Anolis sagrei: one gene and its partner. The protein of the gene in region 1 binds, or shares a complex with, the protein of each later gene. Links are inferred from orthologs where the notes say so. Each region holds a gene or a part of one and is shown on either strand. Other genes may lie near its edges.

Region 1 (8,913 bases):
GAACATCGAAGAAATGGAGTAGCCTTCATAATTAATAAGAAATTCGCTAAAGCAGTGCTTGGATACAACCCAAAAAATGACAGAATGATCTCAATTCGAGTGCAAGGAAAGCCTTTCAACATTACAGTGATCCAAATATACGCCCCAACCACAGCTGCTGAAGAAGCAGAAGTAGATCAGTTCTATGAGGATCTGCAGGACCTACTGGATAATACACCAAAAAGAGACATTATTTTCATTACAGGAGACTGGAATGCCAAGGTGGGAAGTCAAATGACAACAGGGATCACAGGCAAGTATGGTCTGGGAGAACAAAACGAAGCGGGACGCAGGCTGATAGAATTTTGCCAGGAAAACTCGCTGTGTATAACGAATACTCTCTTCCAACAACCTAAAAGGCGGCTTTACACATGGACCTCACCAGACGGTCAACACAGAAATCAGATTGACTACATCCTTTGCAGCCAAAGGTGGCGGACATCCATCCAGTCGGTGAAAACAAGACCTGGGGCTGACTGTAGCTCAGATCACGAACTTCTTATTGCCCAATCTATCTATCTATCTATATATATAATAAAGAAGAGTGTTTGTTTGTATAGGAATTGTGGAGGGCGGTGTATGTGCCAGCGTTCTGATTGGCTGCCGCTGTGGTGCTATTTGCATATGGTCTCTGATTGGCCAGCTTCAATAGGACCCCCTGGTGGAGAAGAGGGTTCATGGCAGAAACGGGGCATGACAGAAGGAAATTTGCATATGCTCTCTGATTGGCCAGCCTCAAATCCAACATTCTGAGATGAGAAAGAGAGGAAAGGAAAGGCCAAAGGGGGCTGGGTCAGAACACTCCCAATACAGACCGAAATAGGCACACAAAGCCCCCATCACCCACTCTACATCCTACTGCAGTTTGGAGGAGGATGAACCATGGATGATGGGACTTGCAGTACCACCACTCACATTCTGAGACCACTGTTAACCTTATCCAATGACTGATCAGGACCAAACTTCGCACAGAGACCTCTCATGACCCACTGTACGTCCTGGTGTGGTTTGGCCGGGGATGGACCATGGATTATGGGACTTGCAGTACCATTGCTCAATTCTTCATACCACTGCAACCCTCATCCAATTACCAATAAATACCAAACTTGGCACACTGAGTCTCCATGGTGCACTCTACATCCAGGTGCAGTTTGAAGGAGGATGCACCATGGGCGATGGGACTTGCAATACCTGCACTCCCTTCCTAAGACCATTATAACTGCCAACAATGATGGATCAGGACCACAATTTACACAGAGAGCCTGCATAACTCACTCTACATCCTGGTGCGGTTTGGAAGAATTTGACAATGGATGATGGGACTTGCAGTCACCTCACTCACTTCCTGAGACCACCGAGACCCTCGCCAATGACTCATCAAGACTAAACTTGGCACATGGAGCTTCAATGACCCACTCTACATCCTGGAGCAGTTTGGAGGACGACAGACCATGGATGATGGGACTTCAAGTACCTCCACTACCCAAGACTGCTGCAAAACTCATCTAATGACCAATCAAGACCAACGTTGGCACACAGAGCCCCCATGACCCACTCTACATCCTGCTGCAGTTTTGGAGAAGGGTGGACCATGGATGATGGAACTTCCAATACCTTCACTCACATTCTGAGACCTCTGCAAACCTCTTCCAATGACGGATCAAGACCAAACTTGGTACATAGACCTCTCATGACCTACTTTACGACCTGGTGTTCTTTGGAAAAATTTGGGGATGGATGATGGGACTTGCAGTACCTTTGCTCACTTCCTGAGACCACTGAGACCCTCGCCAATGACTAATCAAGACTAAATTTGGCACATGGAGCTCCAATGACCCACTCTACATCCTGCTGCAGTTTGGAGGAGGACAGACCATGGATGATGGGACTTCAAGTACCTCCACTCCCTTCCAAAGATTGCTGCAACCCTCTTCTAATGACCAATCAAGACCACACTTGGCACACAGAGCCCCCATGATCCACTCTACATCCTGCTGCAGTTTGAAAGGGGATGGACTTTGGATGATGGGACTTGCAGTACCTTCACTCACTTACTGACACCACTGCCACCCTCATCTAATGACTGATAAAGACCAAACTTGGCACACAGAGCCCCCATGACCCACTCTATATCCTGCTGCTGTTTGTAGGAGGATGGCCCATGGATGATGGGACTTTGAAGTACCTTCACTCACTTCCTGAAAATAATGCTGCCATTATCCAAAGACCAATAAAGACCAAACTTGGCATACAGAACCGCCATTACCCACTTTCTCTAATAACCCGGGCAACGCCGGGTCCCCAAGCTAGTATATATATATAGAGAGAGAGAGAGAGAGTAATATAAATATATAAAATAATACATGAGTTTGTTAATTTGTCCTATGCATTGAGACTTTTAGGGACACCCTTGAAAGTGTGTATGTAAGTGTGTGTGTGTGTGTGTGTATGTCTGTGTGTATATATATATACATATATGTGCTGTAATATAAATATATAAAATAATACATGACTTTGTTAATTTGTACTATGCATTGAGACTTTTAGGGACACCCTTGAAAGTGTGTATGTGTGTGTGTTTGTTTGTGTGTGTATATTTATGTGTGTGTGTGTGTGTGTGTGTGTGTATATATATATATATATACACACACACACACACACACACACACACACACATACACACATTGTAATATAAATATATAAAATAATACATGACTTTGTTAGTTTGTCCTATGCATGGAGACTTTTAGGGACACCCTTGAAAGTGTGTATGTGTGTGTGTGTGTATATATGTATGTATATCTGTGTGTATATACACACATACACACACACTGAAATATAAATATATAAAATAATACACGAGTTTGTTAATTTGTCCTATGCATTGAGACTTTTAGGGACACCCTTGAAAATGTGTATGTGTGTGTGTTTGTGTGTATATTTATGTATGTACACACACACATACACAAACACTGAAATATAAATATATAATAATACATGAGTTTGTTAATTTGTCCTATGCTTTGAGTCTTTTAGGGACACCCTTGAAAGTGTGTGTGTGTGTATGTATGTATGTATGTATATGTGTGTGTATACACACACACACACTGTAATATAAATATATAAAATAATACATGACTTTGTTAATTTGTCCTATGCATTGAGACTTTTAGGGACACCCTTGAAAGTGTGTATGTGTGTGTGTGTGTTTGTGTGTGCATATGTATATGTGTGTGTGTGTTGGGGATGGGCCTCAGTCTGGGCTTGGCCTCAGGAAGAGGCGCTATTCAACAAGCCCTTTGCTCCCCGAGTTGGGGGAGGCCTCTAAAGGCGCAGGAGAAACAGAGAAAGGGTTAGAGTAAGAGAGGGCTCACCTGCTTCGGCCTCCCGCCTCTCCTTCTCCTCCTTCTTCTTCTTCACCAACGGCTAAAATGGCGGCCTCTCCCCCCTCCGCTATAACTGCAGCGGCGCCGCCAGTACGCATGCGCTGCCCGAGAGAGCGAGAGAAGCCTGCGAAAAGGGCAGAGACTTCTTGACCCGGCATGCAACGCGGCAGAGGGAGGAATCACTCGCAAGCTTGAGCTTCGCGCGGTGGCCGACGGGGCGCGTAGTTTTTTTGGTCTTTTGCAGTTCTATCTTATCATAAGGCTCTCCTTTGGCCCAGCTTTTCCCGTTTGAACTGGGAATCCTGGGATGTGTAAACTTGGAGAGAGCAGAGATGTCCCCTTTGGATCCTCAGTGCCTCACACTAAATTGCCATGGGTAGCTTGCAATATAGTTTATACAACTTATAATATAGTACAATATATTATATAATACCAATAGTATTGATATAATGTATTATATATGTATATTGTGGTATAATAATACAGTACAATATAATAATATATAATATAATAATAATATATAATAATATAATAATTGTATATTATATATTACATGTAATATTAGTAATAATATTGCCTTATAGTGCTATAGTACAATATCGTGATATCATATATATATATATATATATATGTATATGTATATGTATATATGGTATAATAATACAGTACAATATAATAATATATGATATAATAATTGTATATTATATATTGCATGTAATATTACTAATAATATTGCTGTATTGTGGTGTAGTACAATATAGTAATTCAATATATATAATATTATATAGTTGTTGTTGTTCATTCATTCAGTCGTCTCCGACTCTTCGTGACCTCATGGACCAGCCCACGCCAGAGCTCCCTGTCAGCCGTCACCACCCCAAGCTCCTTCAAGGTCAGTCCAGTCACTTCAAGGATGCCATCCATCCATCTTGCCCTTGGTCGGCCCCTCTTCCTTTTGCCTTCCACTTTCCCCAGCATAATTGTCTTCTCTAGGCTTTGCTGTCTCCTCATGATGTGGCCAAAGGACTTCCACTTTGTCTCTAGTATCTTTCCCTCCAGTGAGCAGCCGGGCTTTATTTCCTGGAGGATGGACTGGTTGGATCTTCTCGCAGTCCAAGGCACTCTCAGAACTTTCCTCCAACACCACAGCTCAAAAGCATCTCTCTTCCTTCGCTCAGCCTTCTCTAAGGTCCAGCTCTCACATCCGTAGGCGACTACAGGGAATACCATGGCTTTGACTAGGCAATGGATCTTTGTTGCCAGTGTGATGTCTCTACTCTTTACTATTTTATCAAGATTGGACATTGCTCTCCTCCCAAGAAGGAAGCGTCTTCTGATTTCCTGGCCAGTCTGCATCTGCAGTAATCTTTGCCCCTAGAAATACAAAGTCTGTCACGGCCTCCACATTTTATTTTCCAGTTGTCAATCATTCTTGTTGCCATAATCTTGGTTTTTTTATGTTTAGCTGCAACCCGGCTTTTGCGCTTTCTTCTTTCACCTTGATTAGAAGGCTCCTCAGCTCCTCCTCGCTTTCGGCCATCAGAGTGGTGTCATCTGCATATCTGAGGTTGTTAATGTTTCTTCCAGCAATTTTCACCCCAGCTTTGCATTCCTCAAGCCCCACACATCTTCGCATGATGTGTTCTGCATGCAAGTTAAAAAGGTTGGGTGAGAGGATGCAGCCTTGCCGTACGCCTTTCCCAATCTTGAACCAGTCTGTTGTTCCGTGGTCAGTTCTGACTGTTGCTCCTTGGTCCTTGTACAGATTCCTCAGGAGAGAGGGAAGGTGCCTTGGGATGCCCATCCCACCAAGAACTTGCCACAATTTATTATGATCCACACAGTCAAAGGCTTTAGAATAGTCAATGAAGCAGAAATAGATGTTTTTCTGAAACTCCCTGCCTTTCTCCATTCTCCAGCATCCAGATATTGGCAATCTGGTCTCTTGTTCCTCTGCCTTTTCTAAACCCAGCTTGAACATCTGGCAACTCTCGCTCCATGTATTGCTGGAGTCTTCCTTGCAGGATCTTGAGCATTACCTTACTGGCATGAAAAATAAGGGCCACTGTACGGAAGTTTGAGCAGTCTTTCGCATTTCTCTTTTTTGGTATGGGGATATAAATTGCCAACTTTGTTTCTTATCATACCAATTTTTACCTGAAATTTACCTCCAATGTTTCTAATTTTCTGGAAGAGGTTTATATATATAATACATTACTTCAATATTATAGGGAGCATACAACACCCCTATTAAAACAGCCTCATTGGCTGCCAATAAGTTGCCGAGTCAAATTCAAGGTGCAGGTTATGACCTATAAAGCCCTAAACAGTTCGGGCCCCGCCTATCTACGCGATCGCATCTCCCTCTACAAACCAGCGCAAACTCAAAGATCCACAGGGGAGGTCCTTCTCTCGCTCCCACCACCATCATTAACACAGTTGGTGGGGACGAGAGAGAAGGCCTTCTCGGTGGTGGCCCCCCACCTCTGGAACCTCCTCCCCAGAGAAATAAGACAGGCCCCATCCCTCTCCTCTTTTTTTAAGAACTTGAGACTTGGTGGTTTCACCAGGCCTTTGAGAATTACTAGCATGAACTCCAGCCCCTGGCCACTAGCTAGAATATGCCCCTTCTCCTCACCTATTACCCCGGTCAGTTCTCCAATACGCTCAGGAAATGGCTCCACTATTACTGTTGCTGGGACAGGTTATTGCACTTTACCCATTCCCCTGGCCCCCTATATCTTGCACTAGCCTCGCCCGGCTATATGCTTAGGCCCTTTCTGAAATTCCGGCCCAAACAGCTAACCTTGGCATGAAGAATAAGGGGAACTGGTTTTATTGTATACTAGCTGCTCCTGCCACACGTTGCTGTGGCCCAGTCTGTGTATATGTGTTTTTTGTGTGTACATGTGTGTGTATATATTTGTGGTTTTGCCCATGCGTTGTAATATTTTTTATTTATTTATTGGTTTTTTAAGTTTCTTCAGCTGTTTTTCAGTTTTTTTATGAGTAATGGTCACTGGTTTTTAAACTTTAATTACATTTGGCCGCAGATTTTAAATGTGCACTGTACTTTGTTTAATGTGTATGCTATTTGTGTATGAAATTTATTTTAATTGCCTTGTATTGTGTCTGTTATTGCTTGTATTGATGTATTGCGGGCTCGGGCTCATGTAAGCCGCACCGAGTCCCATGGGGAGATGGTAGCAGGGTATAAATAAAGATTATTATTATTATTATTATTATTATTATTATTATTATTATTGGTCTGATAGTTGTATTGTGTCCAAATTTGGTGTCAATTCGTCAAGTGGTTTTTGAGTTATGTTAATCCCACAAACGAACATTACATTTTTATTTATATAGATAGATGTATTGTACTGATAATTTTACACTTATGTTTTGTTTACTCTGTATGTTTGTGTGTTTTTGTGATTGGAAACCGCACTGAATCCCCTAGGAGGGAGAGAGAGTGGTATATAAATAAAGTTTTATTATTATATATTATTATATAACGACTAAAATAAGCCACACCGAGACCACATGGAGTCCAATAAAACTATTTTTATAAATAAAAAAACACATAGGATGGTTTCAATTTATATAAAATTTGGAAGGGGGGAGAATATGTGTGACACAGGAAGATAGCACCAAAGGAGGAGGAAGGAAACGGAAGGAGGAACAGGGCAAAAGTGTAGTAGTACCTGGTCAAGAGAGAGGAGAAAACAATGTCGCATCCAGGAAAACATAACAGGGATGGCTAAAGTGGCAGCAAAACAGCCTCGTCTTTATATAGCAGGCATGAGCAAAGTCCTAGTCCGACATTCAAGCCAATCAAACGTGTTGAGAATTATATCGAGGGAAGATATCTCATTTCCTGCAAGGCTCCTGTTTGTGCTTGTGATTTCCACCTGGCAGCATGAATGCCAGAAAGCAATGTTTCTCCCAATCTGATGCCAGAATGTCTGTTCTATGGCAGGACTACAAGTGACAGAGTGTTCCCATAGAAACTGTTTCATCTTCCAGCAGAGCAGCCTGGACTGATCCATCTTTACATACATTTCCTTCAAGCCCTGAATGGGTTATTCTTTAATCCAGAAAAAACATGAGAAGACAACACTGGGAAAAGGGAGGGAAGCAAAGCAGATGCAAGGAGAAAAGAAATGGGAAGAGAGAGATTATCACCTGCGCCCATCCTGCTCTTTTCTCTGGTGTTCTGGGGCTCAGTCACACCTTGAGGACAGCAAGACTATAAGCTTAGTTCCCAAATATGTGGTTTTAAAAGCCTGCATATGATGGATATTCCAGGCCCCTTCCACACAGCTGTCTAAAATCCACATTGAACCGAATTATATGACAGTGTGGACTCTGATAAACCAGTTCAAAGCAGATATTGTGGATTATCTGCCTTGATATTCTGGATTATTTGGCTGTGTGGAAGGGCCCTCCATCAAAGCCCACTAAGCCTCCTATGGCAACTGGCACATATTTGTCTCTGAAGGTGGGATCAGCCTACTTTCAGGACAAACTTGGTCATACAAGCTCTATCTTAAGTGTATGTATTTCATTTATTATTTTTGTTTGTACCCCTTGTTTTCTCTCTAAAAGGTGAGAGAAGTCGCTCTATAAAGTCTCCCCAGTGATAGGAAAACAAAGTGAAATGATCTAAAATTCCCAAATATGTAAGTAAAAGGCGGAATTACACAAAGCACAGCGTAAGAGGTAAAGGTTTCCCCTGACATTAAGTGTAGTCGTGTCCAACCCTGGAACGAGGTGCTCATCTCCATTTCTAAGCCAAAGAGCTAGCGTTGTCCGTAGACACCGCCTAGGTCATGTGGCCAGCATGACTGCATGGAGTGCCATTACCAATAGGCAGTACCTATTGATCTACTCACATTTGAATGTTTTCGAACTGCTAAATTGGCAGAAGCTGGGCCTGACAGCAGGGGCTTACCCTGTTCTCAGGATTTGAACCGCTGACCTTCCGGTCAGCAAGTTCAGCAGTTTAACCAACTGTATCACCAAAAGGTGAGGCACAAGCATAGCCTACCAAAAGGGAAAAGTCTACCAAAAAGTAAAACAGAGGGCCACCTTCAGTAATCCTCCTCACTAGCAGCAGAGTTGTAATAAGGAAGTTTGGTACTGGAGTGAACTGGACACTATTCTAAATACTGAAAAACCATAGATGTATGCACTCCATGGTTATAATAATGGGATTCTGCAAAGGTAACTCCACTGTTTCATTCCGTAAAGCGTGTAGCTTCCACAGATCAAGACAACTTCCATGTTCTTCCTTGGATGCCTCAATCCATATTGTGCTTGACTATCGTTATGATAAAGTCAAGCGTCATCACTCACACAAAAAGGGCCTGGCATTTGCAGAGACTTCCCTGGGTCAAGAGTTCTGCTTTGTTTTGGTGTCAGGGGTGACCTGAGAAACTGCAAGAGAGTGGATGTTTTTAACTAAGAGATGTAAATAATTTATGTT
Region 2 (8,264 bases), on another chromosome or scaffold:
AAGAGTTTATCCTTATTAGGTTCTATTTCAAAGTCAGTTATTCCTAATAGGAAATATTCTGGTTTTAATTCTATTTTTATATCTAATATCTTTTCTAAATTTTTTGTGTATGTTTTTCCAATATGACTTAGCAATTTTACATGTCCACCACATGTGAAAAAATGAGCCTGTTTGGTCTTTGCACTTCCAACATCTGTCTTTTGGATAACATTTAGCCAGTTTCTGAGGTGTAATGTACCACCTATACATCATTTTTAACCAATTTTCTTATAGATCAAATGCATAACTGTATTTTATTTTCTTATTCTATATTTTCCCTTCTGAGATGATTTTTGTTATGTGTTGTTTTGGTCTTTTTGTCCTTATTTTTCTGAATAACCATTTTCCACATTTGTTTGCATTTTGGAAATATTGCTGTTCATCAAATTTCATTTTCTTTGAAAGTTGTTCCATTTCTAATTCCTTTGTTTTTGTAAAATCTCAATTTCTGTTTTTGGAGGTTTTTCGTCAGATCTTTTTCTATTTCCGATATTGTAGCCATTACTTGAAGAGATTCTCTATTTCTTGCTTTGTTTTTTCTTGCATTTTGTTGAATTAGATGTCCCCGCATCACGGCTTTACTTGTGTCCTAGATCGTTTGGTAAGAAAGATTTTCAGTTTTATTTAGTTCAAAGAATTCTCATAAGATATCTTTATTCCTTTTTTATATCTTCCTCAGATCTCAGGAAGTCATTATTTAATCTCCATTTCCTTGTATATTCTCCTGTCTTCCATTTGAATTCTAAGGGGCACTGGTCTGAGTTTGTTCTTGGAAGAATTTTTATCTTTTGGATCTTGATGTTTGTTGTCCAGACCATGTCTATTCTTGACCATGTTTGATGGCGGTCTGAATAGAAAGTGTAGTCTCTTTCTTTTGAGTTTCTACTTCTCCATGTGTTTTGTAGATTGAATTCATTCATCAGGTTAGTAAATGACAATGGTAATTCTCCAGCTTTTTTCTTTGTTATGTTTTGTTAAAGTATTCCTTTCTAATTTGCTGTCCAAGACTCCATTGAAGTCTCTTTGAGGCAGCTTTCAAGGGTGTTCCATCTCTTGTTCTCCATAGGGTCAGGTTTCCATGACAGTAAATTGAGGATTTGTAGGTGCTCCTTTTCTCGGGTGGAATACAGTTTCCATCATCCCTCCCCAGCCAGTGGTGAAGAGATAATGGGAGCTGCAGCCCCACAACACCTGTGAGGCCACCTGAATCTTATCCTTCTTATAGGAGATACTCCTCACTCCTTTTTGTTTTTGGATCTGGAGTTGTAACTGGCAGCAATGGAGGTGGGACAGAGAGCAGTCCTCAGTTGGCAGAACCGATTGGTCCACACTAATCCCTGCTGTTTTCTCAGTTAGAGCAAGAGACGGGTGAGAAGAAAAATGCCTACCAAAGATTTAACATTCCCAGTGTAAGTAATGCAAGGTGTATAAATTAATCAAATAACCTTCAAGGCACATTTCTTCACTTCAAACCTCTGTTTGGGAGTGGATATAAAGCATAACCTTTTGCTGTACTGCTAGCAGAACCTTCATAATATGTGTATTAAAAATTAGGCTAGTCCTCAATATTTTTTTACTAATATGTATGTATGTATGTATGTGACATATACAGTAGAGTCTTGCTTATCCAACATAAATGGGCCGGCAGAACGTTGGATAAGCGAAAATGTTGGATAAAATGGAGGGATGAAGGAAAAGCCTATTAAACGTCAAATTACATTATGATTTTACAAATTAAACACCAAAACATCATGTTTTATAACAAATCGACAGAAAAAGCAGTTCAATACACGGTAACGTTATGTAGTAATTATTGTATTTATGAATTTAACACCAAAACATCACAATGTATTGAAACGGCTCCGGGCAGGAGTCAGACTGCGTTGGATAATACAGAACATTGGATGAGCGAAGGTTGATAAACAAGACTCTACTGTGTGTGTATGTATATGTATATGTATATGTATATGTGTGTATATATATATATATATATATATATATATATACACACACACACACACACACACACACGCTAATCAAGCTACTCATGATGTTAATTTATTTTTTTTACTAACCAGGTGACCTGTATGTATTACTGACTTGTTGCATCATTGCTCCAAATGATTCTTTTGTCAGAAGCACCTAAACAAATGGTGAATTGCAAGCTAATGCTAAAATTACTACACCGATTTACAGCATTATATATTGCAGGATACTACTGCCATTCATTTTGTATTGCATTTAAATTTGTGCTGTATGTATGTGCGTGTATATATATTATATATTATACTGATGTTTTCTTATAATAAACATTTCATGTAAAAATATACTGTTGAAGCAACAAATGTTCTACATGTCTACATTCTAAAACATATGTATTCTATCCTTTTTTGAGCTTCTCAATGTTGATCACGACTGTCATGATCACCCAGCACTGGTTATGTAAACTGATGATGATGGGAGTGGCATCCCAATTTGTTGTTGAACTCCATTCCCCATTGGCCCCAGCCAACCAGACCAGTGGGAACAGCAGTTCATCAATCTCTGAAGGGCTGCCTTAAAGTCGATTTATCAATCCAGAACAAATACGCATTATTGATAAAAAGAAAATCCCAAACGAAAACTGAGAGAATATATCCACCAGAGAATGTAAAGCCCTTCAATTCAATAACATAGATTGATTGTAGTTTGTATTTTTTTTGTTTAGGATGTAGTATTCTGAATTGAATTAGTTCTATCATAAAAACATGGGGAAAGTTTACCAAACTGCAAACAAATTGTTTTTGTGGGAGGGACATCCTACAGCACATTTTGCTCTGGTTTTTCAATTAATCTATATAAATAAAAATGTAATGTTTGTTTGTGGGATTAACATAAATCAAAAACCACTTGACGAATTGCCACCAAATTTGGCCACAGGACACCTACTAACCCAAGGAGTGACCATCACTCAAAAAAGTTGATTCTGTCATTTGGGAGTTGCAGTTGCTGGGATTTATAGTTAACCTACAATCAATGAGCATTCTGAACTCCACTAATGATGGAATTGAACCAAACATGGCATACAGGACTCCCATGACCAACAGAAAACACTAAAAGGGTTTGGTGGGCATTGACCTTGAGTTTGGGAGTTGTAGTTCACCTACATCCAGAGAGCACTGTGGACTCAAACAATGATGGATCTGGGCCAAACTTGGCACAAATATTCCATATGCCCAAATATGGAGTTTGGGGAAAATAGACCTTGACATTTGGGAGTTGTAGTTACTGGGATATATAGTTCACCTACAATCAAAGAGCATTCTGAACCCCATGAACAACAGAATTGGGGCAAACTTCCCACACAGAACCTCCATGACCAACAGAAAATACTTAAGGCCATCCAGTCCAACTCCCTTCATCAGGGCAAGAAAACGTAATCAAAGCCCTCCTGACAAAGAGCCATCCAGCCATAGATATAGAGAGATATGATTCACACACACAGAGATATAGTCTCATAGATTTGAAAGGGACCCCTAAATTTGCATGTTGCATGTTCCAGAGTAGGCAAACCAGACAATCTCCACATCAACACTGACAAAGATCAGCAAGAAATACTGTTTACTCACAAGCATAAAAAAATTACATATATTAGAAACCAACACTTTCTCATTACTTTCCAGATCACCAGACTGGGCCACAGCAACGTGTGGCAAGCTAGTATCTGATATAATCTCAACCAATTCAACCTAATTTGTAGCTGCCCCAAAAAACAAAGTTTCTGGATTTGAACAACTACTTTCCAAGTAAGGATTGTACAATTAAACAGGAATTAACACTTTCAAACCAGGAACAGAAACTGGGTTGTTAGTTTTCCAGGCTGTATGGCCAGGTTCCAGAAGCATTCTTGCCTGATGTTTTGCCCACATCTGTGGCGGGCATCTTCAGAGGTTCTGAGGTCTGTTGCAAACTAGGCAAGTGAGGTTTATATGTCTGTGGATCCTCTCACCTCTGCAGGAGTCTACCACATATCATGCAGCTGTGGACAAGTCTACATAGAGACCACCAAACAGCATTGCCCAAAGACGAATCAAGGAACATGAAAGGCACTGCAGACTAATTCAACCAGAGAAGACATCCATAGCAGAACAGTTTTTTTCTGGCTATATGGCCATGTTCTAGAGGCATTCTCTCCTGACGTTTTGCCTGCATCTATGGCAAGCATCCTCAGAAGTAGTAAGGCTGCTTGCCATAGATGCAGGCGAAACGTCAGGAGAGAATGCCTCTAGAACATGGCCATATAGCCTGAAAAAACCTACAACAACCCAGTGACTCCGGCCATGAAAGCCTTTAACAATTCATAGCAGAACAACTAATGAAACAACTGGGACACAGCATATTATTGGAGAACACAGAAATGGCCGACCGCTCTGACAACCACCATGTCAGCTACACAACCACTTAGAGCTGTGTAGCTCTAAGATGTCAGGCTACACAGAGAAGCCATTGAAATTTATTTATTTATTTATTTATTTACTTCGCTTATATACTGCAGTTCTCAGCCCAGGGGCGACTCACTGCGGTGTACAACATAGCAAAAAACAAGGTGCAAAATATAAGACACAGTATAAAATAATCCACAATTCAACATTATCAGAAAACATCCTCATCAAAAACATCATTACTACAAAAGCCATTCCGTGTCGTCTCATCGCCAAAACCACAATCCAGTATCAATTTCCGTTGTTCATTCCTATGGTCAATTACCAATCATTGCACTTCTTGTTCAAACGCCTTCTTAAACAGCCAGGTCTTTAATTTCCTGCGGAATATCAGCAGGGAGGGAGCTAGTCTGATGTCCACGGGGAGGGTGTTCCACAGCCGAGGAGCCACCACCGAGAAGGCCCTATCTCTCGTCCCCGCCAGCCGTGCCTGTGAAGCAGGCGGGATCGAGAGCAGAGCCTCCCCGGAAGATCTCAAAGTCCGCCTGGTCCAGCTCGCCATCCTGGCCTATGTCATCGGGTGAGCCTTGGGCATGTGGATAATTTCAACAGAAAGGAAGAAAACATGGAAAGGGAACACAATCTGGCTAGCAGCATTTAAAAAAAGCTCTAAGATCAGGACAGTAAATAAAGAACAACACTAAAAAATGGGGGAATTCCAGACAAGAAACAATCAGGGTCAGCTAACACCAAAGGATCCCCCAGGCTTTGAAGCTGGCCTTCTCTATAGAATCACATCACCTTAGAGTTGGAAAGGGCTCATGGAGCCCAAACCCCGTGACCCAATCAAAGCCCTCCCGACAGATGGCCCTCCGCTGCTCTTGAACAGGCTGCCAAAAGAGTCCCTCCTCCCTCCCCGAGCCAAACGCCTCCAGCTTTGTTGGGAACAGGAAAGGTTTCCCCCGAAGCCTTTCCTTGGAGGGAGGAGACTGGCCAAGTCCGGCCCATTCTCTAAAGTTCCCTGGGATAGTTTGAAAACTTGTATTTCCCTCTCCTTTGGCCCTGCTGACGCCGCGCCTTCTTGCAACATGTGGGAGCCAAGCCGGAAACAGCTGCGGTGGCCTCGCTGAGCGCGAGCTCTTTGCCTGGACTCCGCTTGGACTCCGGCTTCAGCCATGGCCGCTCCGGACCGCCAGCCCTGCGGGTTCCTCTATGGCTTCCTCTTCGAGTACGACACCCCCCGCATCGTCTTGATCCGGAGCCGTAAAGTCGGCCTCATGAACCGCCTGGTCCAGCTCGCCATCCTGGCCTATGTCATCGGGTGAGCCTTGGGCAACGAGGACTTTTTCTCCCCGGCTTGGACTATGTGGGTCTTCTCGAAGAGGAAAAGGCTGGAGGGAATCTCTTCCTTCCCTTCCCTGGAGGGGTTTCAGCAGAAGCTGGCTGGCCATCTCTTGGGAAGGTTTGGATTGTGCCTTCCGGATAGAATGGGGTTGGACTGGATGACCCTTGGGGGTCCCTTCCAACTCTGGAAAAGTGATGGAGTTGGGTTTTTTTTAAAGCAGAGGCTGCATAGGCCACCAAGGGCCATCCAGTCCAACCCCCTGCCAAGAAGCAGGACAATTGCATTCAAAGCACCCCCGACAGATGGCCATCCAGCCTCTGTTTAAAAGTTTCCAAAGAAGGAGCCTCTACCACACTCCGGGGCAGAGAGTTCCACTGCTGAACAGCTCTCACAATCAGGAAGTGCTTCCTCATGTTCAGATGGAATCTCCCTTCTTGTAGAAGCCATTTCCAACTGGACTGTAATATAGAATGTGTTGTCGAAGGCTTTCATGGCTGGAATCCCTGGGTTGATGGGAGTTTTCTGGGCTGTCTGGCTATGTTCCAGAAGCATTCTCTCCTGACGTTTCAGCCACATCTATGGCAGGCATCCTCAGAGGTTGTGAGGTCTGTTGGAAACTAGGCAAGTGGGGTTTATATATCTCTGAAAATACTGTCTAGAGTGGGAGAAAGAACTCTTGTCTGTTGGAGGCAAGTGTGAATGTTGCAATCGGCCAGCTTGATTAGTATTGTGCAGGCTTGGGGGGCTTCAGCCCCCCCCCCCCAAATTCTCATGGTGGTTCGCGAAAAGGCCTACTGGTGCATTATTTAAACTGTTATGTTTATTCATATCATGATCAGATCACCATACTCAATATATCCCATATGCATGGGGGTATTGGGGTAACGATACAAAAGGTTTTCTAGGGTAGACCCTCTTTAACTCGGACTCAGCCCTCCCCCCTCCCCCCCAAATCGAAATCCTGGCTACGGGCCTGGTATTGTGTATCCTTGCAGCTTCAAAGCTTGGTTGCTTCCTGCCTGGGGGAATCCTTTGTTGGGAGGTGTTAGCTGGCCCTGATTGTTTCCTGCCTGGAATTCGCTGTTTTTTGAGTCTGGAATTCCCTGTTTTGTGAGGTCTGCCGGAAACTAGGCAATTGGTGTTTATACAGATACCTGTGAAATAATGTCCAGGGTGGGAGAAAGAACTCTTGTCTGTTGGAGGTAAGTGGGAATGTTGCCATTGGCCAGCTGGATTAGCATTGAGTAGCCTGGCAGCTTCAAAGGCTGGCTGCTTCCTGCCTGGGGGAATTCTTGGTTGGGAGGACCATCAAACCAGACACGAATCAAGGAACATGAAAGGCACTGTAGACTAATCCAACCAGAGAAGTCAGCCATAGCGGAGTACTTGATGAACCAACCTGGATACAGCATATTGATTGAGAACACAGAAATGCTGGACCACTTTGACAACCACCATGTCAGAATATGCAGAGAAGCCACTGAAATCCACAATAAGCATGTGGACAATTTCAACAGAAAGGAGGGGACCATGAACATGAACAAAATCTGACTATCAGTATTTAGAAACTCTAAAATCAGTACGGTAAATAAAGAACAACACTCAGAAAACAAGGGGATTCCAGACAGGAAACTATCAGGGCCAGCTAACATCTCCCACGAAAGGATTCCCCCAGGCAACAGCAGTCAGGCTCTGAGGCTGCAAGGCTATTCCAGGTTATTCCATGCCAAAAAGGCAAACATTCAATGCCTGGTACAGACAATAAATTCAAATACAATACAAAGCATCCAAACCCCAAAATAGATCAACGTATATGAAAATAAATCAACATATGCCAAAAACCCACATATAACATCAAATTGTAACATATAACCTAAAATCAACATTAAATTATATCAAGTATAAAAACAGGAACCTCAATTTACACACACACCCAGGTTCAATTGGTATTGAATTAAAATTAATTATGTTGCCTATGATGTTAACTAAGCCAACAAAACCAGAGTATGTGAATATTTTCCAGTCAGAGATTTGTTGTATCTAGTTTAATAGCAAGGATTCCGTAACAACAAGCCATGGCGGTCAAAGTGGTATCAAACTGCATTCATTCTACAGTGTAGACAATATATGAAACCCCTTCCATAGATTTGCCAATGGGTGTATGTCTTGTGTGTTCGATTTATGCAAAACCTTGTGTTGTGTGCTGCCAAGGGGCTTCCAGTTTCTGTGGGTCTCCTTGGCTGCAATTCTCCAGAGAGCTTTGGTTTTTGCTTGCTTTTGCTGAGATAGTGTGACTTGCCCAAGTGGCTTTCCGTGGCTGAGCGGAGATTTGAATTCTGTTCTCCAGAGTCCGACCTCCAAATAGTTGCATCACAAAAGCCGATGGCTTACCTTTAAGCACGTGTAAACATTGCATTGAGTGACTTATGTGGTATTTTCTGACCTTTGTTGAGAAACAT

Evidence for each region.
Region 2: the proteins of AP2M1 (region 1) and P2RX4 are in contact, whole or in part, in a crystal structure (PDB 2BP5), measured with the Rattus norvegicus proteins. The link is inferred for Anolis sagrei from reciprocal best matches to the Homo sapiens genes AP2M1 and P2RX4. Residues at the interface, in NP_446289.1 of Rattus norvegicus: Phe174, Leu175, Asp176, Lys203, Asn217, Leu316, Ala317, Gln318, Lys319, Glu391, Val392, Pro393, Lys400, Val401, Arg402, Tyr403, Leu404, Ile419, Lys420, Trp421, Val422, Arg423, Tyr424, Ile425; in NP_113782.2 of Rattus norvegicus: Val375, Glu376, Asp377, Tyr378, Glu379, Gln380, Gly381, Leu382, Ser383, Gly384.

The regions. Positions count from the first base shown.
Region 1 is NC_090023.1:264,556,508-264,565,420, forward strand, and holds the start of AP2M1 (AP-2 complex subunit mu), read right to left. Parts: upstream 3,516-8,913; 5' UTR 3,414-3,515; intron 1-3,413.
Region 2 is NC_090034.1:42,603,973-42,612,236, forward strand, and holds the start of P2RX4 (P2X purinoceptor 4), read left to right. Parts: upstream 1-4,733; 5' UTR 4,734-4,873; coding exon 4,874-5,040; intron 5,041-5,433; exon of another isoform or gene 5,434-5,635; coding exon of another isoform or gene 5,636-5,781; intron 5,782-8,264. UniProt on the Homo sapiens protein: ATP-gated nonselective transmembrane cation channel permeable to potassium, sodium and calcium. CTP, but not GTP or UTP, functions as a weak affinity agonist for P2RX4.